Linked DNA regions of Kluyveromyces lactis. The protein of the gene in region 1 interacts with the protein of each later gene in a pairwise test. Links are inferred from orthologs where the notes say so. Each region holds a gene or a part of one and is shown in the gene's direction. Other genes may lie near its edges. The genes, in order: ABP1 and KLLA0_E08405g.

Evidence for each region.
Region 2: the proteins of ABP1 (region 1) and KLLA0_E08405g interact in binary tests that used the Saccharomyces cerevisiae proteins (3 or more experiments, as listed by UniProt). The link is inferred for Kluyveromyces lactis from reciprocal best matches to the Saccharomyces cerevisiae genes ABP1 and PRK1.

The regions. Positions count from the first base shown.
Region 1 is NC_006042.1:933,140-948,309, reverse strand, and holds ABP1 (Abp1p), read left to right. Parts: upstream 1-2,078; coding exon 2,079-3,809; downstream 3,810-15,170. Other genes in the region: KLLA0_F10219g (uncharacterized protein), read right to left, coding at 1-310; KLLA0_F10198g (uncharacterized protein), read right to left, coding at 1,116-1,358; KLLA0_F10153g (uncharacterized protein), read right to left, coding at 3,962-4,522; YMD8 (Ymd8p), read left to right, coding at 4,918-6,228; KLLA0_F10109g (C2H2-type zinc finger protein), read left to right, coding at 7,244-9,115; MCM DNA helicase complex subunit MCM6, read left to right, coding at 9,681-12,692; GPH1 (glycogen phosphorylase), read left to right, coding at 13,616-15,170. UniProt on the Saccharomyces cerevisiae protein: Regulates ARP2/3 complex-mediated actin assembly. Recruits ARP2/3 complex to sides of preexisting actin filaments, which may promote nucleation or stabilization of filament branches. Binds to actin filaments, but not actin monomers.
Region 2 is NC_006041.1:752,038-767,771, reverse strand, and holds KLLA0_E08405g (Ark/Prk/Nak family serine/threonine-protein kinase), read left to right. Parts: upstream 1-9,233; coding exon 9,234-11,567; downstream 11,568-15,734. Other genes in the region: AVT7 (Avt7p), read left to right, coding at 1-894; glucose-induced degradation complex subunit FYV10, read left to right, coding at 1,368-2,774; BMT5 (25S rRNA (uracil2634-N3)-methyltransferase), read right to left, coding at 2,799-3,770; phosphatidylinositol N-acetylglucosaminyltransferase GPI15, read right to left, coding at 4,133-4,588; transcription factor TFIIIB subunit BDP1, read right to left, coding at 4,815-6,530; KLLA0_E08449g (uncharacterized protein), read right to left, coding at 6,786-8,054; histone deacetylase HDA1, read right to left, coding at 11,610-13,724; rRNA (cytosine-C5-)-methyltransferase RCM1, read left to right, coding at 14,408-15,734. UniProt on the Saccharomyces cerevisiae protein: Protein kinase involved in the regulation of actin cytoskeleton organization and endocytosis. Phosphorylates PAN1 which disrupts the interaction between PAN1 and END3, and between PAN1 and SLA1. Phosphorylates SCD5.

The DNA.
Region 1 (15,170 bases):
CTGGTTTAGATTCCTTCTTGACAGGCTTTTCCTCTTTCTTTTCGACCTTGACTTCCTTCTTCACTTGAGCGTTCGGTTGTTTTCCATTTTGGTCATTCTGATTACCGTTCTTTTTACCCTTGTATAATCCTTTCTGATATTTTTCATCCTCTGTTATGCACTGGATGTGTTTCTTGTAAGAGATACCGTCATCAAATGTCTGGTTACAATCAATACAAGTATAATAAGCTTGTGGGCAACGGTAGTAATGCTTTTCGGTGTTCTTTTTAGGAACAGTATCGTTACACACTTCACAATTAAATGTTACCATCTTCTTTGAGCAGTTTATGTTTGGGTACGGTATGCGTTCAACTAGGATATTCCGATGCTAGAATATAAGTCATTTATCTGTATAATCATTCTATATTATCTCATCTCATCTCATCTCATCACCGAAGATTCTTTTCACTTTTTAACATCAGCAGAAAAAGAAAAGTCCACAGCGTGTATGAATTTAAACTTATTTATGGGGAGCACATTAACAATGTAAGGAAATATGTGTAATTCCATGAAAAGTCCCAATAATTTGAATGTTGAAAGCTCTTTGAACACGGTTAAGATTCTAAATTAGTTACGAATGCTTGCAAATGTTTTGGCTAACACCCACAATTTAGGAAGGTATCGCATAGACATAGTCACGTGATACAAATTCCACACATGTATTTTCTTATGAAACGACACTCAAATGGGCAACTGACCGTCAGTTAGCGACAATTGATTGTCCTTATACATAGCTTCGTTGTATAGTTTGTTTGAAAAGCCTTAATCCGTCCTCCCCCCCATTTTCTGTGATATTTTCTTGCCGAAATAGGATTCTAATGCTCCACTCAATATGCAACTTCGGTGATAACTGCTAAGTGACAAGTTTCGGACATTTTTATTTACATCTTGCGTCATAAAGGCCAAAGGAACGGGGAAAAGCCAATTTAACAGCTTCAAAATCGGATACAAGTTCTTTTTGCAGTGGAGAAAAAGTAGTAGATGGTTTCGAATAACCAAGTTCGTCTGTAACCCCACCATCGTCATCAGCCGCGGGGGAAAAGGAACCATCACCGGTAGAAATAAATTTGTTGCCATTACATATACGCCCATAAATCGATGAAGGCTTGTATTAAATCGTATTTTGACCATATATGATATTTACTCGATCTGAATCTTGTCCTTGGGTTCGATAATTTCTTGTATAATCTCGAAGAAGGCCTATTTTTCAAATAGTGCGTCAGTGAATACAAACCTGCCGGTATCGATATTATCGATTTCGGAGCTTGTCTACCAGTACCTTTCTCAGAGTTGCGATGGCATAGTTTCCTAACATGCATATATGAGAATCATGAACGTGGAAAGTCGTTCCGGGATCAGTTATTGTGGTAAGGCCCCCATCATTATAACCAATGTTTAACTCAACAGTGATTTCAGCATAAGGTCCGTTTCGTAGTGGAAAATAAGCTGAAATCTGGCCGGAGAATAATTAATAGAACATCGAGCAATTTGAAATTCTCACCGACAGTTAATTTCCTGTTCCAACAGAAACATCATCACAGCTTTATTCCAAAAAATAGTTATTGATTCCTTGATAAGAAAACTCTTCATAAAGCTAATAACAGTTTTGCAATATCGTTCTCTACTCTGACCGCTGTTCATGGTACTAAATATTACCCGGTTTCATGTCAACCGCTGTTTCTCTAAATGAAATCTGCACGAATTTCTCGAAACTAAAACCACAGTTCATATTCCGGGTAACCTATGAAATAAAATCTTGACAATTGTCTCCTATTCGCCATGAATGCAATATTTGAACTAGGTTAAATTATTAAACATGAATCAATCCACTGCTGTTTGGTGGAATGATTGTACCATCCTACCTTTATATATATTTAAACAAATATAGAAATATCTTAAGACAAGAATTCTGCAAAGTCAATTGAATTAGTGTGTGTTTTTGCCAATTTACCAGACAAATTTGAGGTGCATTACGTTCCTTTCTTGTTGTTATTGATCTTAAGTTATTATAGGGTTATCAGTCTGGCATAGCAATTACGATGGCATTTGAACCAATTGACACTACTACACACTCGCGTGCCATTGAGGCCGAGTACCTGAAGGTTGTGAAGGGTGATCCAGATACTACTTGGTTGATCATCTCGCCAAATTCTAAGAAACAATACGAACCTGAACTAGTCGGTACTTCTTTCAGCGAGTTTTTGCAAAGTTTCGATGATACCAAGGTTCAATACGGTTTAGCTCGTGTTTCTCCACCAGGTTCTGATGTTCAGAAGTTGATTTTAATTGGTTGGTGTCCAGATTCCGCTCCATTGAAAACCAGAGCTTCATTTGCTCAGAATTTCGGTGTGATCTCTAATCAAGTGTTTAAGACCTACCATGTTCAGGTTACCGCCAGAGATGAGGATGACTTAGATGAATCTGAATTGTTAATGAAAATCAGCAACTCCGCTGGTGCCCGTTATTCAATTCAACAACAAACACCGGCCTCCAAGAAGCCAATTTCCTCTGCTGCCAAGACAGCCAAGAAACCAGTCAGTGTTTCATCCAGACAATCTGAGCAAAAGGAACCTACACCATCGTTCCCATCAAGAAGATCCGTTTCTCCCCCAAAGACTGAGAAGAGCAGAGGTAAGAAGGACGATGAATGGGGTGAACCAGAGTTGGAAGAACGTGATTTCGACAAGAAACCACTAGAACCAAATTCTTCTTCCTGGAAACCAATTGGTAAAGTTGATCTACAAAAAGTGATTGCTGAAGAAAACAGTAAAGAAGATCCCCGTCTAGTTGTTTCGGGGCCTAATTACGACAAAAAGATTGATCCTCAATCTGAGATTGCTAAATTAAAGCAAGAATCCAAGCTAAAGAGGGATGCAGAATACAACAAAGTCTTGGGACCAAAGAGTTCTTCCTCAGCTCAATCATCAGGAAACGATAGCGACGATAAGGTGATCAAGGGTTTCAAGAATGAAAAGTCACCAGCTCAACTTTGGGCTGAAAAGAAGGGACAAAAGAAACCATCTAATTTAGAGAACAAGACCCAAAGAGAAGAGTTCTCAGATTCTAACGAAGAAGAAGAAGCTGAAGAAGAGATTGAAGAGGTCAGATCAAAATTTGAATCAATTAAAACTAAGGAAATTCCTATCATAAAACCAAGTGACTCTAGCAGATCTAGACCTCAAGCTTCTAAGATCAACTCATCTGACAGCTGGACCAAGAAACAGAACAAGTTTGGCCAACCACTACCAGGTCTGCATGATCAAAAGAAGGAACAAAACGATGACTGGAGTAGTGATGAGGAGGAACAAGAAGAAGAGGAAGAAACTCCAGCTCCTTCGTTGCCTGTGAGAAGAAATGTTCCTCCCCCACCCGAAAGCGATGAGGAGGAAGAGGAGGAGCAAGAGGAAGAGGAAGAGGAAGAGGAAGAGGAAGAGGAAGAAGCTCCTTCTCTACCAACTAGGAGAAATGTTCCACCCCCACCGGAAAGTGACGAGGACGAAGAAGATGATGATGAAAGAGCATTTTCTAAGTCTCAAAATACTCCTCCATCTCCAGCACCAAGAGCATCCAAACCTGGAAAGAAAGAATCCGGACCATCAGCTATTGCTGAATATGATTACGAAGCCGGCGAAGATAATGAATTGACTTTTGAAGAAAATGAAAGAATCATTAATATTCAATTTGTCGATGATGATTGGTGGTTGGGTGAACTTGAATCATCAGGTGAAAAGGGTCTATTCCCAAGTAATTACGTCAACTTAGAGGAATGATCCAATAAATTACCACTACTCTAACTTTATCATTGTTAATAAATGATGATGTTATAAGTTGGTGGGACTTTGAAATGAATATATCATGTATACTTTACAAGTAAATAATGTTAAAGAAATAAAGTACAAAAGTAAACTAAACAAAAGTCTACTTATTTGCCTTTTACAATTTCAAAGTTCATATCTACTACGCTCACTTCTTCTCCAGCATCGTCATCATAATCATACCATTCGTTTTCGTCGTCTTCAAACTGAAACTCCATTTCCTTCTTCGAAACTAGTTCAGCTACAAAAATAGTGTCAGCAGGTTCAAATTTAGTTACTTCACATCCTCTGCAGTCAAGCTCGAGCCAAACAGCTTTTTCCACAGGAACAGAACGTAAGCCAACCTTCTTTCTGTCCTTTTTACCCTGTTCAATCAATTCGAAATTAGATTCTTCATCTAAATTATATAAGTCTTCCTTAGTCCTGGTCAAGTTTATTGAACACTCATTGCCACAAAATTTACATTTCATCACGAACGAGGCATTTCCTTTACTTCCAGGCATGTCATGAGATTCAAACCTATTGATTCTAATAGGGGAATCGTGCTCCTCTCTACAGCTGGTACATACTAATTTGAAGGTATATTCAGCTGGTGATTGTTCTGTATCTTTTGGGAAAATCCTTCTGATATTCTCTGACAAGGTGGCACAAGATGTCAAAAACAACATTATTTTGGGAGCCAAATTGGTACGACGATTACTTTGATATATAACGTTCCGGCTTCCGGTTCATAAAAACCCTGTAAGTTATCTCAATAGGGTCCTAGTCTCATTTGTTAGTGGTTCATTAATTTTTTTTTTTTTTTTTTTCACCAGCCTCATCCATAGGAAAGCATCTAAGAAGAAAATAGGTTTCGTTCAACATGAAAAAGATGCGTAACTAGGTTTGTGCCTACCACATGTAGAGAATGAAATAACATAGAACCTCGAAGTCAATTGATTTGTTTAATGGAAGTTCTGGGAGATCTGTGTGAATCATTGCTACTGTAGGGAGACGAGATATTAATACAAAATTAGAAGAAGCCTGGCGTAGTACTTTTGTCAATATAAAATAGCTAAAAACAATGAAGATGGATAGAGACACAGTGAGGATCTTCACTTTGATCATGGGGATGTATATTGCAGCCATTCTTCTTACCATGTACAACAAATGGATGTTCGATCCTAATAGAAGTTTGCATATTCCATACCCATTGTTGGTGACAGGCTTGCACCAAACACAGTTATGGGGTATGGCATATCTGTATCTCCGGTGGAAAGGTCAACTAACCCCCGAAAACTTGAACAAAGGTGATTGGAAGTACTATGCAAAGTACATTATCCCAACTGCTATAGCAACTGCTGGTGACATTGGTTTAGGCAACATTTCCTTCAAATACGTTCCATTCACTGTTTATACAATTGTCAAATCATCTACTATTGCATTCGTTCTTTTCTTTGGCTGTCTATTCAAGGTGGAAGTACCATCTTGGAGACTATTCATTATAGTGACATTGATGTTTTGTGGTGTTGTGATGATGGGTTTAAAACCAATAAACTCAGATAGCTCTCAGACTCATGGTGAAATTCAGGAAACCTTTGGTGTGATACTTGTGGTGATAAGTTGTGCCCTAGGAGGGTTCAGATGGGTCTACGTTCAAGTTATTCTCAACCACAAGAAGAACACCATTGTCTTGTCACCCAACGATGGTGATGAGTTGATGGCTGCTGACAAACCTGCTACTAAGAAAAACCCGGTCATCACTCTATATCAATTAGCTTTACCAATGACTATACTTCTATTTTCCACTTCATTCATAGTGGAACGTCCGATTCCTGATGTACTGCATTCTGAATTGATGACTTGGGAAGGTCATTCGAAACTCGCGGCTCTATTACGTGGATTAGCGCTTCTCACACTCCCTAGCTGCCTTGTTTTCATATTAACAATGTGTGAGTTTGGTATATTACAATTGGCTCCTGTATTAACTTTAAGTGTCACCGGGATCATCAAAGAACTATTCACCGTTTTCTTAGGCATGCTGGTATTCAATGAAAGGCTAGGATTTTACAACTGGTTAGGCATGATTGTTGTACTAATCGACGTATGCTATTACAACTACTACAGATACATGCAAAGAAAAAGACTACAAGAAGTACAACAGGACTACCAACTAGTAGAAACCGATGAACCCCCATGTACATCTACGCATGATGGTGATATTTGGTCAAATTTACAAGACAACATCAGTGGAGACTCGGCGACTGTATGGGAATTAGGGTCCTTGAATTCCAGAAAATCAATCGAATCTAACCTACCAGAGCTAACATCAGGTACCATTACCGAACCCACTAAAAACAAAAGTGACGACACCGTAATGGGTAATTCCAAATAAGTGAATCTGCATCATTCACCATATTTGCATTCTATCCTTTATCGATTTCATCTCACACTCTTTTTTTTCTCTCCTGCATGAAGTATAAACTAAACACTCCATTGCATATGCATTTGAATAATAACCATATCAAATCCCGAATTCACAAAGTCAGAATTCAGCTTCCTATAAGCTTCAGACAGCTTTACTCGAAATGTAAACTATATTAAACATGTACACTACTCAATTTACACGTTTTAGATGTATTCTAATGCCAGCTTCGGACTTTAGAATCAAATGCTTAAACTGCCATATATGAATGAGATCACGTGCGTTGCATCCGAAAGACTGTAAACTAGGATTCCCTGAGCAGACAGTTATTTCATTACTCTTATAGAGTGCAAATGATTAATATATTACCCGATCAACATGAGCACATCACTTAACACGAAGAACACAACTAACTACGTATTCAAGATAAGTATCTCCGTATTTTCTCCGGCCCGTTTAGCAGCATGTCTGGATTAATACTGACAGAAATTTCAGTTTTTCGAAAGAGAAATCTCATGAAAATGAAAAAAAAAAGCTGCGACCATGGCAATCAGAGGGAAAAAATAGAATGATGGATAAGGAAAATTGATAATGAAAGTTGAAGATTGAAAATCAATAATTGGAGATTTTGGCCTTTTGAGTGCAAGTTAGTTGCGATTAGTGGTGCTTTCTAATTATTCTTTTTATAACATCAACTAGGAATATTGCATATATCCATAAATTACTTACTTTGACTGTTATCTGAGAAGTGTAACCAACCCGAAGGATTTTCTTTTGTTTTTTTTTTTTGTTTGGTCTTAATACCATTGATCATTTATCACAAACGAAGGTGACAATAGTTGACTCAGATTGTTAAAACAATAAAGCTCAAGGAAACTGAAGTCTAAGAGTTCAACACTTTTGATTTTGAAATTTCCAACTTGAGCTTATACCATCTTATTGTTATTGAAAGCGTTTATTTGACTTTGCATTTGATTAATCAGCCATGCCTTCCGTGCAATTGCTAGATACGGATAAGTCAATTCTCAAACGACTCTCTTGGCGTTTGACTAATTGGTTCAATGCCATCGCCAGTCACGTCGTAGGTGTTTCTTTGGACTGTAAGACATTACAGGATGATTCAAGTATGGACGTGAGAAACAAGGGCAATAAGTCGGATTTTGAAACGGAAGATGAAGATGAAGGTGAAGATGGGAAACTTAATGAAAATGGAAAGAACTCGCAAGAAGATACTGACAACAGGCGCATTTCTCTTTTCCCATCCTCGCATAATGTGGACAGACAGTTAGAATATAATGCCTCTGTCATACCATGTTCTTTGAACATCAATGGATTACAAAGCCCAATGTCCGTTGCAAGGACTCCCGAAGGTCAAATGGAATGGAAGATGACGATAGACACTGACCCTGTTACCTCTAAGAGAGCTTTCGCACAGAATACATCTCCAAAGGTAAATGAGGATCGTGAAACGAAAACTACTCAGGATATTACCCCTAAGACTGACGCTACTCCAGAGACAGGAGAGACGTCTGCGAATGATGATTCGAAGACATCATTGAATGATCATGTGGATGTTATCAAGTCAGAAGATAGTTCTGTAGGTTCAACACCAGAAGTTTCTAGTGGTATTGTTCCTGTCTCATCAACCGACAGTGAGTCTCAGGTGCCCACTGATAAGTCAGATGAGAAGAAGGAAACAGATATGAAATTTGTGTGTCATTATTGTGATGCAGAATTCAAAATGAGAGGGTATTTAACTCGCCACATCAAGAAACATGCCATAGAAAAGGCATATCATTGTCCCTTCTGGGATGCATCTCTACCTTCTGAGAAACGTTGTCACTCGACAGGTGGCTTCTCCAGAAGAGATTCTTATAAGACCCATTTGAGATCAAGGCATTTCATTTATCCTGATAATGTTAAGAATGTGGACCGTGTGAACTCTCATGGACATTGCGGCCGTTGTAAAAAACACTTTGATTCGACAAATGAATGGATTGAACATCATATTGAAAATCGTGAATGTGAAGCTATTTTGCCAACTTTCAAGGGTAACCTGAAGAAGAGTAAAAAGTGTGGGAAGTTGAAAATGATCATGACCTCTGATGGACAGTCACGTTTCATTTCCAACCAAGCAACTATCAGCGAAGCCAAGGTGCCTATCAGCAACTTCATGCCAGAAAATAGGAAGAAGTTATCGAGTGAGTATTCTAAACCGGCTTCTGCCTCCCCGCCCATCAAACAAACCATATCTGACCTGGCTTTGGATAACACTTTTGCTCTGGCTTCAATACCACTAAACTACAATGGAAATATCAATGGAAATATCAATGAACATAACGACAATCAGAATTACGGTCATTTCGAAAACCAAGTGTATGGCAACGGTGTCCCATCTCTCGCTCCCTCGAACTCTGTCCCCTTCACAGGACAACCACAACTAATACCTCATTCGGGATCTCAAAATACAGCTACTCATTTACGCAAATGTACACAACCATTCGATGAATTCTCCTCATTGAACAAATCACCAGTTGAAGATGCAGCTTTGGACACCGTACGGTCTATCTCATCCCAATCCTCCCATGAACATACTGTTCTCCATAAAGAAATGAACTTCATATCTACCGATCAAAAGTCACAAATAAATCCTGATTGGGAAGTACTCCCCCTCGACATCGAGCAAGCAGGCATGTCTATGGAAGAAGAAGTGAAATTCACGAATAACTCGAATGAACCTAAGATTAATACTACTTTACAAAGACAAATGAATGAGTACGCTCTGGGTGAGAGGCACTTCAGAGAAACTCAGCAATTCATGAACTTTTTCAATTATACTTACAATTACCAAGAATGATTGAATCTTTTTCCATTCGGCTTTTCAGTGGACCTATGTCCACATTAACATTTTCGGTTTATTTTATCTGGTTACATTTTTTTCTTTTCTTTCGATTTTAGATTCATTTTCACTTCACCATTAATGCAACTGACTGTCAGGGGGGCTATTTTATCCCTGGCCAGCTTTCTAAAATCCTCGCGTCCATATACTTATATCGCTTAAATAAGATGAATTCTTACCTACGTATCATTAATTTTTATTATCAATTCACCGATGTTTTATCTTCTCCCTATCGAATCAAAAAGAAAAAATTCCATTAAATTGAACTTTGCTGCATTGGTTATCGATATGTTATGGTCGATAGTCAATGGTTTTCCTCGTGTTATACCTCAGTTAACTAATTTTGGATACTTGCAATACCTCTTTAGGAAAAGTAATATTGAATCGCCTTAACTCAGAAATTAAAAAAATGATTTTACATGTTGAAACACTTAAAACATGATCTTCAATGTGAAGGGCATCCAGGTTGAACGGCTCATCCAAAACCGGACATAGTTGGAGCAAGCTGAAAAAATCAGCAACAATGTCGGCACCATCAAGTCCTTTTCAACATGGTCAGCAATCATCCCAGCCTCCCTCTAGTGTAGGTGCTTATGATAGTTCACAATTCGATGATCAGTCGTTAGGAAACAGAACTCCCCAGTTTCCATCTTCTTCCAGAGGAGTGTCAGATGGAAATAGACATTTCGGTACTGATGACACTAGGCAAGGCATTAATTCAGAATCACAAATAGAGGCTATGGAAAATGATTCACAAGAAATTACTCCATTAGCCGGGATCAGGCAGAAAAACTTGAATGCCATCAAAAAGGTTGATGATAAAACTGGTGAAACTGTAAGAGAGGCATTCGAACATTTCTTGTCAAATTTCACCGCCCTCAATGATGAAACAGGTGAGATGGAGAAGGTTTATAGAGTCCAAATTGAATATATGAGATGGTACGAATTGAATACCATATACGTTGACTATAAACATTTGGCCGAGGTGGAAGACGGAGCTTTAGCGGTTGCTATTTTACAACAGTATTACAGATTTTTGCCATTCCTTTTATCTGGGCTAAGAAATGTGGTGAAGAAGTACGCTCCTGGATTATTATTAACATCTGACTCTGTACTTCCTTCTCAATCTCAAGAGAATTCTCAGGACCGCTCTTCGCAAAGAATAGATTCATCTTTGCCAACTTCGCAGGCTGCCACCGCAGGAGGCACTGCCCCATCTACCATTGCCACTAATCCAGATCAGGTTGAACGTGTTTTGCAAATCAGTTTCCTGAATCTCCCAACTGTCCATAGAATCAGAGATATTAGGGCTAATAAGATTGGTTCTTTAATGGCTATTTCAGGCACAGTCACGAGAACTTCGGAAATTAGACCAGAATTATACAAAGCCAGTTTTACATGCGAATTGTGTCGAGCTGTTATTGACAATGTGGAACAAGTTTTCAAGTACACTGAACCAACCTCTTGTCCAAATCCAACATGTGAGAACCAATCTTTCTGGTCATTAAACGTGAACAGGTCCAAATTCTTGGATTGGCAAAAGGTAAGAATTCAAGAAAATTCCAATGAAATTCCATCCGGTTCTATGCCAAGAACCTTAGATATTATTCTTCGTGGTGACTGTGTCGAAAGAGCTAAACCAGGTGATAGATGTAAATTTATTGGTACTGAAATTGTCGTTCCAGACGTTAGTCAACTTGGTTTGCCTGGTGTTAAAGCAAGTTCGACTCCAGATTCTAGAGGTATCTCACGGACAACGGAAGGATTGAACTCAGGTATTTCTGGGCTCAAATCATTAGGTGTTAGAGATTTAACTTACAAAATATCGTTTTTGGCATGCCATGTTGAAAATGTTGGTACCAGTTTCAATGGTAGTAGGATTAATGAGGAGGACGCCGATAAGACATCCAAATTTGATTATATTAACTTGAGAAACTATCAAAACTATGAAATGGCGGCAGAAACTGATCAAGAAATTTTCCTAACAAGGCTTGATTCTGACGAAATTAATGAATTAAAAGAGATGGTGAAAGATGAGAATATTTATGACAAACTGGTGAAATCGATTGCACCAGCAGTTTTCGGGCATGAAACCATTAAGAAAGGTATCCTTTTACAAATGCTTAGCGGTGTTCATAAAACTACTGTAGAAGGCATTAAATTGAGAGGTGACATTAATATTTGTATCGTTGGTGATCCGTCCACCTCAAAATCTCAATTCCTAAAATACGTCTGTAACTTCTCTCCAAGAGCCGTTTATACTTCCGGTAAAGCATCTTCAGCGGCTGGTTTGACTGCAGCTGTGGTGAAAGATGAAGAAGGTGGTGATTTCACTATTGAAGCTGGTGCGTTAATGTTGGCAGATAATGGTGTTTGTTGTATCGACGAATTTGACAAGATGGATATCGCAGATCAAGTTGCTATTCATGAAGCCATGGAACAGCAAACCATTTCGATTGCCAAAGCTGGTATTCATGCAACATTAAATGCCAGAACTTCAATTTTGGCTGCCGCTAATCCCGTCGGCGGTAGGTACAATAGGAAACTGACTTTAAGATCTAATTTGAACATGTCTGCACCAATTATGTCCAGATTCGATTTATTCTTTGTCATTCTTGATGATTGCAATGAGAAGATCGATACTGAGCTAGCTTCCCACATCGTAGACTTGCACATGAAGAGGGACTCTGCTATTAATCCACCATTCTCAGCAGAACAATTGAGTCGTTATATCAACTATGCCAAGACTTTCAAGCCGGTAATGACTAAAGAAGCTCGTGACTACCTAGTCAAAAGATATACAGAACTAAGGAAAGACGATGCGCAGGGGTACAGTAAATCTTCGTACCGTATAACTGTCAGACAACTGGAATCATTAATCAGATTAAGTGAAGCTATTGCTCGTGCTAATTGCGTGGATGAAATTGTTCCGAGCTTTGTCGCTGAGGCGTACGATTTGTTGAGACAGAGTATCATCCGTGTTGATGTTGATGACGTTGAAATTGAAGATGACGATAACTCCCCAGAAGAAAGTACGGAGGGTGAGGGCACAATACCTGCCACACAACACTTCGGCGAAACACTTGATACACAATCTCAGTCACCTTCTCAACCACTGAACGCCGACTCCGAAACGGGGGGTGGTCCTGACGTAGAGTCTCATGACAACGCTCATCACACAACACATAAAGTCGCAATATCATATGATAAATACGTGGAAATGATGAATCTAATTGTACGGAAAGTGGTTGACAGAGAAAAGAATGAAGAACCTGAAATGACAAAAACTGAGATAGTAGATTGGTATTTACAACAGAAAGAAAACGACATCAACACCGAAGCAGAATATTGGCAAGAAAGGAAATTGGCATTCAAAGTCATCAAAAGATTGGTAAAGGACAGGGTCTTGATGCAAATACATGGTCAAAACGACGATCTATCTGCCGATGTCGAATCCTCAAATGCCAAGACAGTGTATGTGATACATCCGAACTGTAGTGTTCTAGATGAAATCACCCCTAACCCACCTCAATGAAAACTTACTAACTAGACTAATTCAACTAAATTGACCATTTGCACTATCTTTGAAATTTGTAACCATAAATAGATATTTCACTTAATTCACATTTACATCTCTACTTTCACATTCACTTTCACATCTGTGCCTTGCTTGAATTCTCAAGAGAACGCCGATCACGTTGCAAACTACGCTAATTGTATAAGAGAAACCAGTTCACCTTTTGACGAGGAATGTCACTCTTCGTCACGTTGTAACCATAAGCAATTATCCCGTCGCCCCTTAAGCTTTGTAATTAACGTACAAAACTACATTTTCTGAAAGCGTGGGGAAACAATAGAGAACATATTGCATTAAGAGGCCGGAATAAAAGGTTTAGTACGGAGATTAACATGTGCATAGAGGATTTTCGTTCTAACTTTTAAACGATGGAACATAGATCAAGTAACATAGTAATTGGACCTCATAACTTGACAACAGGGATAAACTATATTACTTGATATCACTTGTCGCACATGGATTCAACAATCGGTCTCTGATAGATTAAGGGTTGCGTCTTTGTCTGTATTCGAAAACGAATTAAATGTAGTTATAGGTAAATAGTTAGTTATATCTAGAGAAATACTCGTACATCCATAGTCAGGCCATCCACCAAAATAGTTTCTTTTCAGTTTTTTTTGTTTTTCCGCTTTGCATTTAAATGCCAATTGAACCATTGAAAAGGGATGTCTTAAAGGAAATGAAAGAAAGGGGAGCCTTAACCACCTTGAATGAAGAATTGTGAAAGTTTCAGATACAATTGTTACAATTGTTCAAGGCCAACCTATCAAATATAATAGCAGTTAATTGATTGACTATTTTAACTTGAAAGGAAGCTATATATATTTTTAAGGGCCTTGCAAGCGGTTTTTTAGACTAAGAATAAGAAAAGATAAGCCAAGATGGGTTCCGGTACTGCTAGAAGACCTAGCTTGAGCACTTCCACATCCAATGACATGATGGTTGACGAGCCTCATGGTGTGCCTCGTCTTTCCCGTCGTTTGACTGGGTTTTTGCCTCAGGAAATTAAGAGTATTAATACTATGATTCCTTTGCAGAGTAGAGAAATTTGGAAAAAACATGGGGTTAAGAAGTTTGAAACCCCAGACGAATTTCAGTCCAAATTCATTCAACACGTTGAAACGACATTGGCTCGTTCTTTGTACAATTGTGATGATTTAGCTGCATATCAAGCCACTTCTCAAAGTGTCCGTGACAACTTGGTCATTGACTGGAACAAAAGTCAGCAGAGACAAACAGCGCGTGGCTCGAAGAGGGTTTACTACTTGTCGTTGGAATTTTTAATGGGTAGAGCCTTGGATAACGCTTTGATTAACTCACAAGATGGTTCTGAGGAAAGTGGTGTTGAGAAAAGAGAAAAAATTAAGGGCGCCATTGATGAGTTGGGTTTCAAGCTAGAAGATTTGTTGGAGCAAGAACCGGATGCTGCTCTTGGTAATGGTGGTCTAGGTCGTCTTGCTGCATGCTTCATTGACTCAATGGCAACAGGAGACTACCCGGCATGGGGTTATGGTTTGCGTTACCAGTACGGTATCTTTGCTCAAAAGATTATCGATGGTTACCAAGTGGAAACCCCAGATTATTGGTTAAACTTTGCCAATCCATGGGAAATTGAGAGAAGTGAAATTCAAGTGCCAATTAACTTCTACGGTTACGTTGATAGGTCAGATAACAATGGGGATGGCTCTACATTGTGTGCAAGTAAATGGATTGGAGGTGAAAGAGTCATTGCTGTTCCATATGACATGCCAATTCCTGGGTTCAAGACCGAAAATGTTAACAACTTGAGAATGTGGACTGCTAGACCAACCACTGAATTCGATTTTGCCAAGTTTAACAGTGGTGATTACAAGAATTCTGTTGAACAACAGCAACGTGCTGAATCCATCACTGCTGTTTTGTACCCTAACGATAACTTCCAAGAGGGTAAGGAATTGAGATTGAAACAGCAATATTTCTGGTGTGCCGCATCTTTGCATGACATTGTTAGAAGATTTAAGAAGGCTAAACACTCCTGGGAAGATTTTCCAAATCAAGTTGCAATCCAATTGAACGACACTCATCCTACATTGGCAATTGTTGAATTGCAAAGAATCCTTGTCGATTTGGAACATTTGGATTGGCACAAAGCATGGGACATTGTTACCAAAACCTTTGCATACACTAACCATACAGTCATGCAAGAAGCGTTGGAAAAATGGCCTATCGGTCTATTCGGACATTTGTTACCAAGACACTTGGAAATCATCTACGATATCAATTGGTTCTTTTTGAAACACGTCGAAAGCAAGTTCCCAAGGGACGTTGATCTTTTGAGTAGAGTTTCCATTATCGAGGAAGCCTCTCAGGAAAGACAAATCAGAATGGCTTTCTTAGCCATTGTTGGTTCTCATAAGGTTAATGGTGTTGCTGAATTACACTCAGAATTGATTAAGA
Region 2 (15,734 bases), on another chromosome or scaffold:
TTCGGAAATTACCCAAAACCCAAAGTTGATTGGTTCTCTATATCGGATAGATCTGGAGTCTTGACGACATTTAGTATTATTGTATTTGCATTTACTGGTTCAATGAATCTATTTTCGATAATAAATGAATTGAAGGAAAATTCAATGACAAATATCAAAAAGATCATAAACAATTCCATCGTAGTATCATCCGCCTGTTTCATAATCTTGGGGCTGTTCGGATATTTGACTTTCGGAAAAGAAACTCTGGGAAATGTCATACTAAACTATGATGCTGATAAGCTCTCTGTCAGATTTGCTAGGTTCAATCTTGGCCTGATGGTTGTTTTGTCATTTCCCTTGTTGTTCCATCCTTGCCGTATATCGGCGAACAATATGGTCCATTGGTTACAATTGAACTATGGAACAAAGTCTGAAATAGATGAAACGATAGGGCCTATTACCCTGGAAATTGAGGATGATACTGATAGAGAATACCTCGAACAAGAGCTAGGCTCCTCCCATGACACTTCATTTGTCCACACGTACCAATCACTACCGAGGGCAACCGACGATGATAATGATGATCAGGTTGATGAACGCACTGAAGCAGTCCCATTCCCTGATTCCAGATTTTTGACTGTCACTTTCTTCTTACTTGCTGTACTATACGTTCTAGCGCTAAACGTTGAGTCATTCGCTTTAGTTCTTGCACTTGTTGGTGCAACTGGTTCTACAGCCATTTCATTCACGTTGCCAGGATTATTTGGGTGGAAGTTAATTGGTACTGAATCTTTGATGAACGGTGAGAGAATCGGAGGATGGGATAAAGCTCACAGATATGGAAGTCTGGCATTAGTCTGGTACGGTCTTATTATTATGGTAAGTTGTGTGTATATCACACTTTTTGTATGACCAGTTCAGCATCTCGCAGTTAAATCATTCAATGGTTCCAATCATTCTTTCTTGGCTAGATTATGAGCAAGGAGCTTTCTAAATAAAATTATTAAAATGTAATATATTCTGTCCTCGTCTGTTTGATGCTTTCTGGGTCTTAAACTTTAGGCGCAACACTTAGCCATTGGTATTTATCTTTTCACTAACAGTGTATAAACAAACGTCTGTAATGTTTCGCCTGATATTCCTACCCTCCAGTTGGTACTGCATCAACTCGACTTTAGCAATTTTTTTTTTCCAGCGTACCGGTTGATGTATTTCATTCATGGTAACTATATCTTTGTATTTCTGCATCAAATTGCATAAGAAAATTGAAAGGGGTTTTCACAATATACCTTAATCTTTAGGGATGAACCAAATAACTGACAAACTGGATCAATCAGTGTAATACTGGTGACGGTAAATCTACCAAAAAGCCTTTAGATGTCATTATGACTTCGTTAAACGAACCTAATGTCGATTTTCACCTAAAATTAAACCAGCAGCAGTTTAACATTCCTTCCGAATTGTTAAAGCGAAACTGGGATAAATTCAACAACCTATATACAAGCTATTCAGTAGAGCTACAGGGACAATTCGCTACTTTGAACACTTTACTTGAAGATCCAAATAAGGATGAGCAATCAATAGAAAAATTGAATGATATAATCAACACAGTGAACATTTTGCAGAAGAGACTATCGCAACTACATGATAATGAGTTAACAATTTTAGAAAGGATTGAGAAGAGAGTAGAATACTTCAAGCAGTTTGAAAGATTCAAATATGATTCTAACACTGACAAGCTTCTAAAATGGTACAGGTCATACACGGATTTGTTAATTGCCGATTATTTGGTAAGGCATGGTTCGAATTCTATAGATCATAAAAACAAGATTGCATCAAACTCTGGCATAGAGTTTATAAAGACTAGGGGATTAGAGGATTTGATTGATTACGAAGTTCTCATAGAAGCTAATCAGATATCTATGGAACTTATAGAAAATAAAAACCTTCGTCCTCTATTAGAGTGGATTGAAAATAACTCTGCGCACTTGACAGAAAAAGGTTCGCATTTACAGTTCCAAGCGTTATTGCAGGAGTACATTGAATTAGTACGATGTTCCGATTATAAAGCAGCAATCAGGTGCTTCCAAACACACCTTGCCCATTTCGCAAATATATATCCCAAAGAACTAAAACTGGCAGCGGGTATTCTTGCTTTCTTCAAAAGCTGCCTCAACAATGGTCGTGACGACGAAGTAACAAACGAACAAAAGTTGTTTCATGCCTATTTTAGAAAACAAATGTATCGACCACATCCGTTGTCATCAATTTCTTCTAGTAACGTTGTTCACAATGCTGAATTATGTCGATATGGTCCATTATTGGACCACGAGAGATGGGAAAGTTTGAATAAAATGTTCCTACATGAATTTTACTCACTCTACAAAATATCTTACCACGATCCACTATTAATATATATATCCTTAGGAATCTCTTCGTTAAAAACAAAGGATTGTGGTCACACCATTTCCGCGCAACTAATCCCTCATGAAAATCCGGAAGTAAATGAATACATTAAATCTAACGTTGTCAATACAGATTGTCCCGTATGCAATCATGACATATTCCCTCTATCTGAAAACTTACCATTTGCCCATCATATCCAATCGAGTTTATTTGAAAATCCAGTAATGTTGCCAAATGGCAATATTTACGACTCTGAAAAGCTAATATCATTATCTCGAAAACTAAACAAAATGGGGTACACTAAACTTAAAGAAAACCAAGTGATGGACCCTATTGATAAATCAATATATGCTACAACAGACTTTATCAAAATGTATCCTACTTAGATATAATAGAGAATATGTATTTTCTTATTCATCATCGCTGTCGTCTTTCAAAGGTTTTTTGGAATGTTTACGTTTATTGAACATTTCGAAAACGTACATTCTGGCATCTCTTTCCTCAGCTGGTTTGGTAGTATCCATTTCACTATTGGTACGCTTGTGATGATACCCTGGAAACTTGGACCAGTCGAATTTCCCTGATCTATCCACTTTCCAACCGTTATCTTTCGCTAGTATTTTTATTTGCCATGAATCGTATGGTTCGCCACTAAATAGAGAAAGAACCACTTTTCCATAACCTTCATCATCAACTCGAGTTTCATTATTTAGTGAGTATCCACCCATAGAAATGCTTGAGTTTAACATAATCTGGCTACTGTTTACGAGTCTGAACAGCTGCTTACAACTATCAAAGTATTTGTACACCAATTGTTGATGTTCGTGAATATTTCTGCCTTGATCTTTTATTCCACGACCTGTATGTGGAAAATTGAATAAGATGAAATCCAGTTTCTTTGTAGTCCATGAATTCCCCACTACTTTCTGCCATGGAGTCTTTTTCGTGATCTTCAAAGATTTTTTTAAGTTTGTTGCATCGATCCCGAACAGCATGACGACTTCATTCTCTTTAAGGAAATTGTAGTTTTCTTCGAAGCTATGTGGATACTTTAGCTTTAACTCTTTGATTCCACTGTCAAAACTGGTTATAATAAGATTTTCTGGTTGAATGTATTGCTGTTCAATAATGCTCTTCGCGAATGAAAAATCACCCTCACCAACCAAGAACAGAGTTGAATCTGAAGAAAATGGTAAAAATCCTGACCCTCTCACTTGTTGTTGTTCCTTTTGTCTTAAAGGTTGTTTAGTCGGCTTACCCTTAGCTGCCACATGTTTCTCTCGTTGCTGAATCTTTTTGGCCCTTTCTTCTCTAGCTTGATGATTTAACAAAGCACCTTTAAGTCCTTTGGATGATATCTTCCCCTTCAATTTCCGTGCCATTTTAGTTTGCCAGCAAAAAATTTGATAAAGTTAGTTGATAGAGAACTTAGTGAAACTGTTGACAGAGACTATTTCCACCTGTCTGCCTTGTATACTTAGAGACTTCATTCACCTCATCTCTTCGAAAATCTGTTTATGGAATTATTATGTTGATGTTTTCTTTTGAAATCACTATCTACAAAAAGGTTTGCATGGATTTTACTGTAAACTGGCACTAAATCTTGCAGTCTAGGTAAGGTTCTCTGATTTTAACAGTCAATGTAATTGGTTAGTATGGTATTTTCCAGCAAAAAGTCGGAATGTTGCCACTAGTTGATAGTTGCATCTCACAGATGAATTACTACTATAAATGATGGTTATTATTAAATCACGTGACATACCTCAAATAGTACCTGTAGCTTCTTCTGGTTCTTGACCAACACTGCAAGATAGTATATGACTTGTAATCCTCTGAAGGCTTCGTTGATGAAAATGTCTTCTATCTCATCCTGAGGGATGAATTTGATACTTGTGAATAATGCATAATTCCAATCCCTGGGGAACAACAAAAGCCCTCCCGAACATGATATTTGAATGCCCTGGTTGGCAATAGACTGTACTGAATCTATAATTGGTACTCTAATGAAAAGGAGGAGACAAATTGGATTCACATATTTTAGAGCCGGCCATGTATCTGCGTATGATAGTCTGATAATTGATAATATAACATAGAGAAAGATAATAGATTGTTGTCTTGAGATGATACGGCTAACTGATCTGTTTGTCGAGACAAATTTAATAGCAACATTATTATTATGCTCTATTGTGGTGACAGTCATACTTGTCGTACCAAGTAAAAGCCAGTCAGAGGTTACTTCTCTTAATTAATCACTACCTTTAATCATGCAAAGGGTTTTTTGAATAAACTTTCGTGTTTTTCGTCTTGAATTTTAAGAAAATGACAACATGTTAGAGTCTGCACAACTCCATGAATATGAATTCAGGTTGAAAGAGTCCTTTCTTAAGACAGATCAAATATTTTAGAGATACATACTTAATATTATACTAAGTTTGAGCTTCAATAGCTGCTTCCTCAGCTCTCTTCTTTTTGAGGTCATCGATAGATCCAAGAACGATTTCCGATTTTCTGTATCCTTTGAGTTGATCGTACCTACCTCCATGTTTACCTTTTTGTGATCTTTCATGCTCTTTAACAGTTTGTTGCTTGATGTCTTGCTCTCTAGCATTTTGACGTTCTACTTCAATTTGCTTTAGATGCTCTTCATGTTCCACTTGTAGTTGATCTAAGCGCTTGTTGAACTCAGTAACCGTGCCGATATTTTTTCTTGTTTCTTTGCAATACTGTTCAAAGTTTGGCGGAAGCTTAGATCTCAATGCAAGTTCTATCATGACAGGATGCTTTTTTTCTTCGTTCACAAATTTTGATTTGATTTGCCGCCTTGACCTATAAGGAAACAGTTGAGATATTAGATTGAAATCTGTCCCCCACATTGATAACGCCTGATAAAACTTGATCATTTCTTCAATAGTCCATGGATCTGTAAACTGCTGACGACCGTACGTAGCAGAATTGTATAAATTTTCGAATGGATTGTTCTGAATTTTTTCTTTAGATGAATTTTCAAGAGACGCGTTCTTATGTCTGTCGACAACCATAGATTCCTCATCAACAACCATAGATCCATCTGCGGCCATCTTCAATTGAATACCTTGATGGGGTTTCTCATCTGGCACTTCCGTATCAAAAAGATCCTGGGCGGCTTTCTTTCTTTCCTCTTTCAATTGTTTTTCTTCTTCCGTTACTAGTTCATTCAAGGACTTGAACTCTTTTCTAGCCATTTCTCGTAGTTCCCTGCGTTTTCTTCTCCTTTCAATCTTTAGCTTGGCAGCTTCCTTAGCCCTGCTAAAATTCTCAGATATTTCACCTATGGGAAGCGTTGGTTTACATAGGTCCGCCATAGTAAAGTTTTCTTCGTCTATCAAGTATTTGGATGAATCTTTGTCCGCTATTTTCTTTGGAATCATCTTCAAATTGGTAATGGTGTATTTCTGATAAAGATCATCAGTTCTTTGGAAGATATCGTCGCAGTTTTCAGAGTCACCAGCTGGTTTTGCAGTTAATGAATCGTCGTCTGGACTACTCATCCGTGATACTATACTAATCCTTTGAACTTTACCCGGTCCTTTTCCGGTTGAGGATCTTGATGACATTCGTCTCCGCTTAATTGCTTGCAGTGAAGAATCATTCTCCGAATTAACTGTTAAACTCTTCTTTCTCAGTGACCCTGTGGATATACTGGAGAGCCTTCTGCTTCTTTCTGGTACATTTCCCGTATTCAAGGAACCAGGCCCCATGAAACCAGACTTGAAAGTAGGTTTAGTTCCAGAGAGCGAGTCTAGTCTACTAGACCTACGGCGGTTGGTAGCACTTGATACTGTGACAACCGGTATCTGAGTGCTGGTTCTTGATGGGTTCAAATTCTTGACTAAAGTTGTTTGACTTAGTGGATCGTCCTCGTCAACAGTTTCGTTAATTTTGGATTCTTCATCACTTCTTTTTGGCTCCGTATTATCTGTACTAGACTCATTCAGTCCGTCCTCGTTATCGGCTTCATTTTCATGGGAATCTTCAGCAGTAGACTTGGTTATGTCATCGGACACTGGTGGTACCACAGTTGGAGCCGGTGTGGAGTTCAGTATCCGTCTTTCTCTTAATTTAGGAACAAAGCGCTTGGCGCTTTTATTCACAACACTACTCATGGTTGTCAGCTGGGTAGTGTAGCTTCAAAGATTCTTTGTTGTATGTTAGCTACTACCTAATGAATAGTGCATTCATCAAAATATATAGCACTGTCGCCATATTAATGTTTACTATCATATTTATTACAAAATTCCATATTTTCGTCAATCAAACAAGGCACAGTGACATATATCCGGGTAATAAGTGTATATTTTAAATATGCGAAGGCATTAAATAGACTGTTCATGTAAAAGAAGATAATAGCATACACAATATTAATAAGGTTTATAACGGTGTTCTTTCTCCTTCTTGGATTTAGACTTGGATTTTTTATCACTCTTCCTATCTTTTTTCCCATGTTTATTCTTCTTGCTGTGCTTCTTCTCCTTCTTATCTTTCTTTTCTTTATGTTCATCATCACTACCAGTAGAAGTAGAATCCTGTTCAGATGTTGAGGATGATTCGTGCTGCATTGTTTCTTGTCCCATATCCATTTCAATTTCTCTGACAGAGTTTTCAAATGCTGTGAATGGTAGTGTATAATCCCAAAAGTTGTGTGGAACGTTTAAAGAGTTCGTAGTGTCCTTCCATACATTAACGTAACCATCTTCACCACAAGAGTATAGGAGGGAAGTTTGATTTTTTGGAATAAGCACATCTCTTATCACTTCATTTCCGTGTGCATCAGGTATTACCAGGGCACTAGAAACATCAACTTGTTCATTTTGGAATGGTATTATCTTGAGTTCACCTTGACTTTCATGAGTTTTTCCAGTTGCAATGAAAGATGGGTATATATCAATAACATAGTCACAACCCCACTTATCTCTTACGTCTCCAAATTCTAGTGGTTTAGGCTCTATCATTTCATCTGATTTATCGTTCAATTCGTGAATACCAAAAGTTTCCATATGCGACAAACTCCAAATCCTTTTCGGGCCAAGCCATCCACAAGAATGGATGGAAGCAAAGTTGATAACTTGATGTAGTGCATCCTCCTCATCGTCTTGAGTCAAATCATAGATGTTGACGTAACCATCAGTAGACCCACTCATCAGCAAGTTTGAGTCGCATGGATGGAATTTTATATCTGTAATGTCATCATGATGCGAGTCCACAAATGACCGCACAGGTTTAGTCCAGTTTCTTATATCATAAATATGCAATTCAGCATCGTAATCCTTTAGTTCTGTGCCACATGCTAACATATTGTGCCTTGAATCTAATGAGAAGAAGGGAGATGCTTTATCGTTTTGAAGAGACGCAACATTGTTTCGGGCTCTAATATCCCAAACTTTAACACCGTCCTCTGCTGCAGTAGCGAACACAGCACCAGTATCAAAATCGGAGTTTATAACTTTCATATCGTTGATGGAGGTTGTATGGCATTGAATACTGGATATGGTTTTCAAGTTGCCCCAATCCAATAAATGCACTGAGCCGTCACTTATCGATGTCATCAATCCATGTTGATATAGAGGTTGCAATTTCAAGCACCAGTTGTTTTCTTCAAAGTAGCGACATTTGTATTTGTTGAAGGACATTGTGGGACTTCGCACCGTGACTGGTTATAGTGCAGTAGACTTTAACAAACTAGTTTACTCGATGGGATGAGATGAATCTTTTCTACCTCTAATCAAAAATAATAGCTTTAACTACTGAAAAAGAAAGATTCATGTTCGAAGGTGGAAGGAAATGGTAAAAAGAATGGTTCCTAGCGGGATCGAACCGCTGATCCCCGCGTTATTAGCACGGTGCCTTAACCAACTGGGCCAAGGAACCAGATCTTATGGTTTTTCGTATATTTTTCCAAACTCATGGCGCATGGTGGCGAGACCGCTCAGGAACAATAATCGAGTAGCTACCAATCTAATTGACGGATAAGTAGCAATATGTTACATAGACATGCAGCTAATAACAAATATCGATTCATCTGATTCTGAAGATCCAGATCTGGTGGCACGTGACTGAAATGGTTAGATAAAAAACATCAACATCTTGACATCTCACAGGCTGAAGAGAACCATATATTCCATCACTTTTTTTTAAGCCACATTATTCCAAATTAATGTTTATTAGCATAGGAGGCCTTAGCAAAACCACAAGGCCACCGCTGTAACTATTCCCTGCTGAGAAACTTTTCTCCACAAAAAATAAGGGCACAAGTAAGCACCAGGGTCCAAGACTTGCCTTCACCTATTGTTCCTTTTTCCTTGCAGTTGTTATCACTCTTTTTAGGGACCCGCCCCTATTAACATTTTCCAATGTTGACAAAAAAATCAGGCTTGAACATTGAAAATGGAAGTCAGTTTTTTTTTCATATAAAAAATTATAGATTTGGTAAATTAAGTGCTATTCAATGAGGTTTACAGCGTTGAGCAGGGCAACAAGAAGCATAGTAGTTCCACCAAGCTACGGGGTTTTATCCTTACATTTATTTTTTTTGCATTTCATAGTTCATCCAAGTGGTGCACTTTTATCAATTGTGAGTTTTGCATTATTTTTTTTTACTTCATTCTGCCTGGACAAATTTCCATCAATTTGCTTATATACTTTTGTGCTATAGGTCACAGTACAAGAGAGCACGTAGGAAAGACGGCATTTGCAAAAGTTTTCTCGAAGGTTAACCCATTTGTGTTGGCGTTATACGCTTACTGTATTTTAACTGCTGGCTTTTCTCTTTTTCTTTGCATTCTGAATTCACATCTATATGGATCTTTAAAATGAATCAGCCGCAAATTGAGAAATACGCATCGGGTACCATATTGCCTGTTGGATCGCATCAGGTGAAGGTTTTGAAATATCTCGCGAGCGGTGGGTTCGCGCATGTATATTCCGTTGAAATTAGCCCGCCAGATCCGGTATGCCCAGATAATGTAGCATGTTTAAAGAGAGTTGTTGTTCCTGACAAAGCAAGTCTTAACACATTGAGGGCGGAAGTGGATTCAATGAAGGCTCTTAGAGGCAACAAATTCATTGTTTCGTATATCGATTCACATGCCACTAAGTCTCCGGTTAACGTAGGAATGTATGAAGTGTACTTGCTTATGGAATACTGTTCTGGCGGTGGGCTTATCGATTTCATGAATACCAGATTGCAGAATAGACTTCAAGAGTTTGAGATTCTCAATATCATGAGTCAAGTGAGTCAAGGTGTTGCTGCTATGCATGCTCTGCAACCACCATTGATCCATAGAGATATTAAGATTGAGAATGTCTTGCTCTCGAAAAATCATGAATTTAAGCTTTGTGATTTCGGATCAGTGTCTGGTGTCATTCGAGCGCCAAGAAATACAGAGGAGTTTAACTATGTCCAGTACGATATAATGAAAAATACAACGGCGCAGTACAGATGTCCAGAAATGATCGACTTATACCGTGGTTTACCGATAGACGAGAAGTCTGATATTTGGGCATTGGGTGTCTTCCTGTACAAAACATGCTATTATACTACGCCGTTCGAGAAAAATGGGGAATCTGCCATCTTAGCATCTAAATTCGAGTTCCCAGCCTATCCACGTTATTCTGATAGAGTGAAAAATTTGATAAGTGTCATGTTACGTGTAGATCCTCTGAAACGTCCGAATATTTGTCAAGTGGTAGAAGAGGTTTCACGTATTCAAGGCATTCCATGTCCAATCAAAAACTTTTATCTGTTAAGAATGATGGATAAACAGGAACAACCAAGGGTGTCGCCACCTCCTCATGTGCCACAGATGACTGTGCCGGCAACTGTGCCAACTTCTGTTTCAACTCAGCATCTGCCCCCCCAAGTTGTATCAAACGTACAGACTCCATCGAAAACTGCATCTATTCAGCACTTGCCTTATTTGCATGTGTCTAAGAGTCAACCTATGGTCACACAGCAGGATTTACTCTCACAAAAGCAACCTGCAGGAAAAACAGTTCCTCAGACGGTTTCAAACTACACAAGTTCAGATCCATTCTCCAAAATTGATAGATCTGCTCTTTTGTCTACTTCTGCTACAATGGAATCACTACCGAGGGCAATGAGAATACCACAACTAGAATATCAACAGCCTCATCTTCTGACAAGATCGCAATCAGTAGTGCCTAGAGCCTCTGTGAGTCCAGTAAGAAATGGTAGAGGTGCCATTTCAAGTATCTTGGCATCAAACAGAACATCCTTAGATAGACCAAAGTATGTGGACTCTGAAACTCAAACCAGCGATCATCCATCAGAACTGGGTCTTTCACGATCTCTGTCTAGAAAATCAGTCGCATCATCTCTGTCTTCTGCGGAATCCTTGGAAGCTACCTCAACTGGCGGTAGCTTGACTCGTAAAATAGGTTCTAAGATGAAAAAAGTTATCACCGGAGAGAAGAGGGGCTTTTCAACCATTAGAAGTGCACAAAATACCGGTGAAAGCGTAAAATCCGCATTTAACGCATTAAGAAAGGGAATTTCCTCAATGCAGTTCACTGGTGATAGCAGTTCCAGAAAATCATCTTTAGAAGCAAGAAAGTATAGAAGTACTTCAGGCAAATCCATTCCTGAAAATACTTCTTCTAACACCAAATCCCATAGGCGGTCCACCAGCTCGTTTTCCTTCGTTCCGGAAAATAATGACTATGAATTGATCGAAGATATACAAAAGGAGAAACCAAAATCATCACTGAGAAGATCCTCTTCCTTGAAAACTTCATCTTCGATCCAGAAGCGCGTTAAAGATCTAATCAATGCAGATGATATACCCAATCGCTCTTCTGCCACTGGATACGGGAAATATACTGATATTGGGAGGAAAACCGATATATCTGACCACCATAAATCCAATGCAAATCGTAAATCAAGTACAGTGATCACTCCTGTGCATGAGGCTCCTAAATCCAAACCAGCACCGCCACCCAAACCAGCTCATTTGAAGCCAAATCTTCCACCTAAGCCTAAACACCTAAAGGCAAAATCTTTCAGAACAAGCCCAGCAAAATCCGAAGTTAAAGAGCAGGATTCCGATCAAGATTCTGTGGGTAGCCCTTTCCAATCTCGAAAAGAAATGAAAGAGTTTGAAAGAAGATTTCCAAGTGCATTATAGAATACTTTTAAAATTACATATATCTTTATAATGATATTCTAATTATTCCGATTCACTCCATTCTTCGAAAGAATCCAATATGAAATCAGTTGCTTCTTCAAAACGTTCATCGAATATGTTTGTCATTCCGTCACAATCTGCCTTCAAAACTCTACCATACTTCTTTCTTAACTTCTTATTTTCGTTGGCCGTACTACCCCAACAAGAATGTGTGCTACTTGTGAATACCAAGGAATTCTTGAAATACCAATCTCCTAACGTTTCGTCAATTAATGGCACCATTACTTTAAGAGGTTTTTTGTCTAAAAATGATATTGCACATTTTACCACTGACCTGGTATCCCTATGGCCTAATAAATGGACAATGCCTCCGTAGGCATCTCCAATGCCGATAAATGCCACCTTTTGTAGATTTTGGAAGAATTTCAAGTAGTTATCCCATAAATATATCAGAATCTCTTGTGATGACGCAACACCTGGGTAGTTGGCATGTTCAAAGAGTGTTTGAGGTATATTTATGTCAATTATTCCATATCTTCTATCCATTGCCCAATTGATCATCTTCAAAGCATTGTCGACGATAATTGAACTAGAAGGATCAATAATTCCTGTCTGTGTGTCACGTTCAGACCAAATCTCTGGTGTGTCATGCACGATCACCACAAGTGTTTCAGAGTCTTGGATACCTGAGGTGCATAGCATAGTATTTGCTGGTAAATTCAAATCAAGAATTGGAAGTTGAACAAAGTTGAATTGTGATGAGAGCTGTGAAACTTGGTATTCTCTAATAGCATTTTGTAAAGGGAAATTCCTTGTGTCCAATGTTGAAGTTATAGCATCCTTGAAATTGATCCCGTCATTTCCATGTCTGTTCTTAAAGCAAGACCAATACTTTGACTGCGTTCTGATGACTGTTTCGATCATTTTTTTTGCCTCTGGAGTTGGTTGCTTTTTAGGAGCAGGCAATTCATCTGGTGGTTCTCCGACCAACACCTTACAAACACCAAGCGCCGACTTAGCTATAGAATCCAAATTGTACCCACCTTCTAAGACAACACACAAGTTTCCTTTAGCCAACGAAAGTAGCATATGGGTCATGTGACCGTAACAAGCAGGAGTAACATGGCATTGGCCGATAGTGTCACCATCGGCTGCATCAAAACCAGATGAAATAAGGACCAAATCCGGTTCAAACTCGCGACCCATTGGCATGATAACTTGTTCAAAAGCCCACATGTATTCAGCATCACCAACACCGCCTGTTGGCCACGTTATATTACAATTGAAACCTTCACCTTTCCCTTCGCCGGTTTGGTCATAGTTTCCATGGATAGTACCTGGGTAATACTTGCCTAATTGATACCTGTGAAGAGATACATATAAAACTCTATCATCGTCATAGAAGGCCTTTTGAGTTCCGTTACCATGATGGATATCCCAATCAACGATCATGATTTTACGAACACTTTCAGGATACGATTTGAGCATATTTGCAGCAGCGACGGCTACGTTACTGAACAAACAAAAACCACCAGCAATTTCAGGTTCAGCGTGATGACCAGGTGGCCTTACTACAGCTATTGAGTTTTTCACTCTTCCCTCGACGACAGCCTTACATGCTTCGATAGCACCACCGCATGAAAGTTTGGCACTAAGATACGAGTCATTATTGAAATACACGGAATCTCCACCCTCAGTCTCCTTGAGTAAACTTTCACGTTCGAGCTGTTCTGTCTGTGATATGAAATCCAAATGCTGTCTTGAATGGACTTGCAAAATTTCTTCCTCTTCAGCTTCACGTACGGGAACCTTCACCATTAGATCTCCGATCGAATCTGCACCACTCAAAGTTGGGTCCTGAATCAATCCATTCTCCGCTAGGATCTTGTAAACACGGTAGATACGGCGGGGGTCCTCTGGATGTGGATCGATGTATTCGAAGTAAGACGTGAAGATCTTAGCATGATAACGCATCCTCACATCATAACAGATCCCGGTTTTCAAAAGACTATATCTAATCTTTGGCTTCGTTGGTGGAACAATGACAGGCCGTTGAGATTCATCTTTACTGGGCAGAGTATATGCAGTACCCTCATTTTTAATTTCCTTGATGCTGGGCCTTTCCAGCGGCTCTTCAGCCGGTTTTTTACTTTCCATGTTCCGAATATATTATGGAAAGGTAACCACGATAATGTTGAATGACAGGCAATGGCAAAAGGGATACCGTAACTAGCTTTCAATGGGAAACGGTCTACTAGAAATGAATGATACAACCACAAATTACGTAACTCCAATGCACGCTTAATTCCCTAGAGCGCCTTTTTACCTTCTAATCGTGAGGAAAGGCTAAAAGTCCACTGAAAATGGCGGAAAAGCTGTGAGAGAACTCTCTTCGTTCGGATTATCTCTCGAAATTTTACTGGCCAAAAAAGTTGTTTTGTGTTCAGATACCGTCAGAATCGTTTGATTGACCTTGGTTATATGGACGTAGCTGTCTTGCACAGGATCTGGTACTCAGAAGATCCGTATGAAGATCAGCTGTTTCACATATGGTTCCATGAGCGCAGGAAATTGTTGATGTTTTAAAGTTCCAATATTTACAGAAAACCAAACTGAGGTGACAATAGAAAAGAAATTATTTTTCAACATCGGACTCTTCAAGTACTGAAAATTGAAAATGTATAATACGTATGAAGAAACATGTAACAAGAGCTCATCGCGATGAGGTATAGAATAGACGTAATATAGTTACGTGTTAGAACTGATTTTGCTGGATCTGTGGTACAAGCTATACAGCGCTATTTCATTGGATTTTCATTTTAACTTCATTGTGATTCGAGATGGAATTCTACCGTGATGCAACCTGGGTATTGGAATTCGTGGAACAGGAGCTCTCTAAAGACAAGAGAGTTGCAGGTTCGTTACAGACCTTGGTACTTACTAGTTGTAAAAGATATAAGCTGAAGACAAATCCTCGTCACATTTATGCCATTGTTAGTAGTACATGGCAGTATAGGGAATATCTAGATAAAATCATTAAGAAGAGCGGGATCTTGGAGGACGTACCGAAAAAGAAAGGGAAACCGCTGTTCAATAAGGATACCATAAGGCTCCTAGTACACGACCTTTTACTTTCAAAATCGAAGCGGATTCAGATGGGTAAGCATCCTATCAAAACTTTCATTTTGAAGCATCAGACTAGGTTAAAGGCTGAGTTGACAAAGCTCAAAGTTAAACTTAAAGTCACCAGTCTGTCGCAGTTAATCAAAACCGATGATGGAGAAGATGTTACACCGGTTCGTTGGATCAGAATTAACCCTATCCTTGTCAAGGAAAGATATGACGATGTTCTTGCTGAATTAAACAAGAAATTCCCACAAAGAGTGAACTCTTGGAAACAAATCGTTCCTGGGAGCATATATTACGATGAGTATATTCCAAACTTGTTTGGCATTCATCCAGGTGATAAGATCACTTCGCATGAGCAATATAAGAGGGGGAAAATTATCATTCAAGACAGGGCATCCTGTTTCCCCGCCCACATCCTCAATCCAAACAGTACTGACGTTGTTATCGATGCATGTGCGGCTCCCGGCAATAAAACCACACACGTTGCGGCACATATCTTTGGAGACGTTGACACCAAGGTCGATTCAGTCAAGATACATGCTTTTGAGAAGGATCCTGAGCGTGCAAAAACTTTACAGATGATGGTTGCCACCGCGGGTTGTGCTAAGGGGGTCAAGATACATGTTGGTGATTTCACAAAACTTGGTAAACCAGAACTTTTCCAGAATGTAACTGGATTCATCGTTGATCCAAGTTGTTCTGGCTCTGGTATATTTGGCCGTAAGGCAATTGATAAAGTAAACTTGAGCAAGACTGGGTCATCAAACACCGATGAAGATCAGACCTCGGTTGAACCTGTGGAGCAAGAAAAAGAATTGTTTGAAAAGGAACAAGATTTGAAGAATAGATTAGCCAAATTATCATCTTTCCAATACCAAATTGTGAAACACGCCATGTCTTTCCCATCTGCTAAGAAAATATGCTATAGTACTTGTTCTATTCATGCTGAAGAAAACGAAAGAGTTGTCATTGATTTGCTCTTAGACTCAAAGGTCAAGGAATGGGGTTGGAAAGTAAGAAAGAGAACCGGTGTAATTC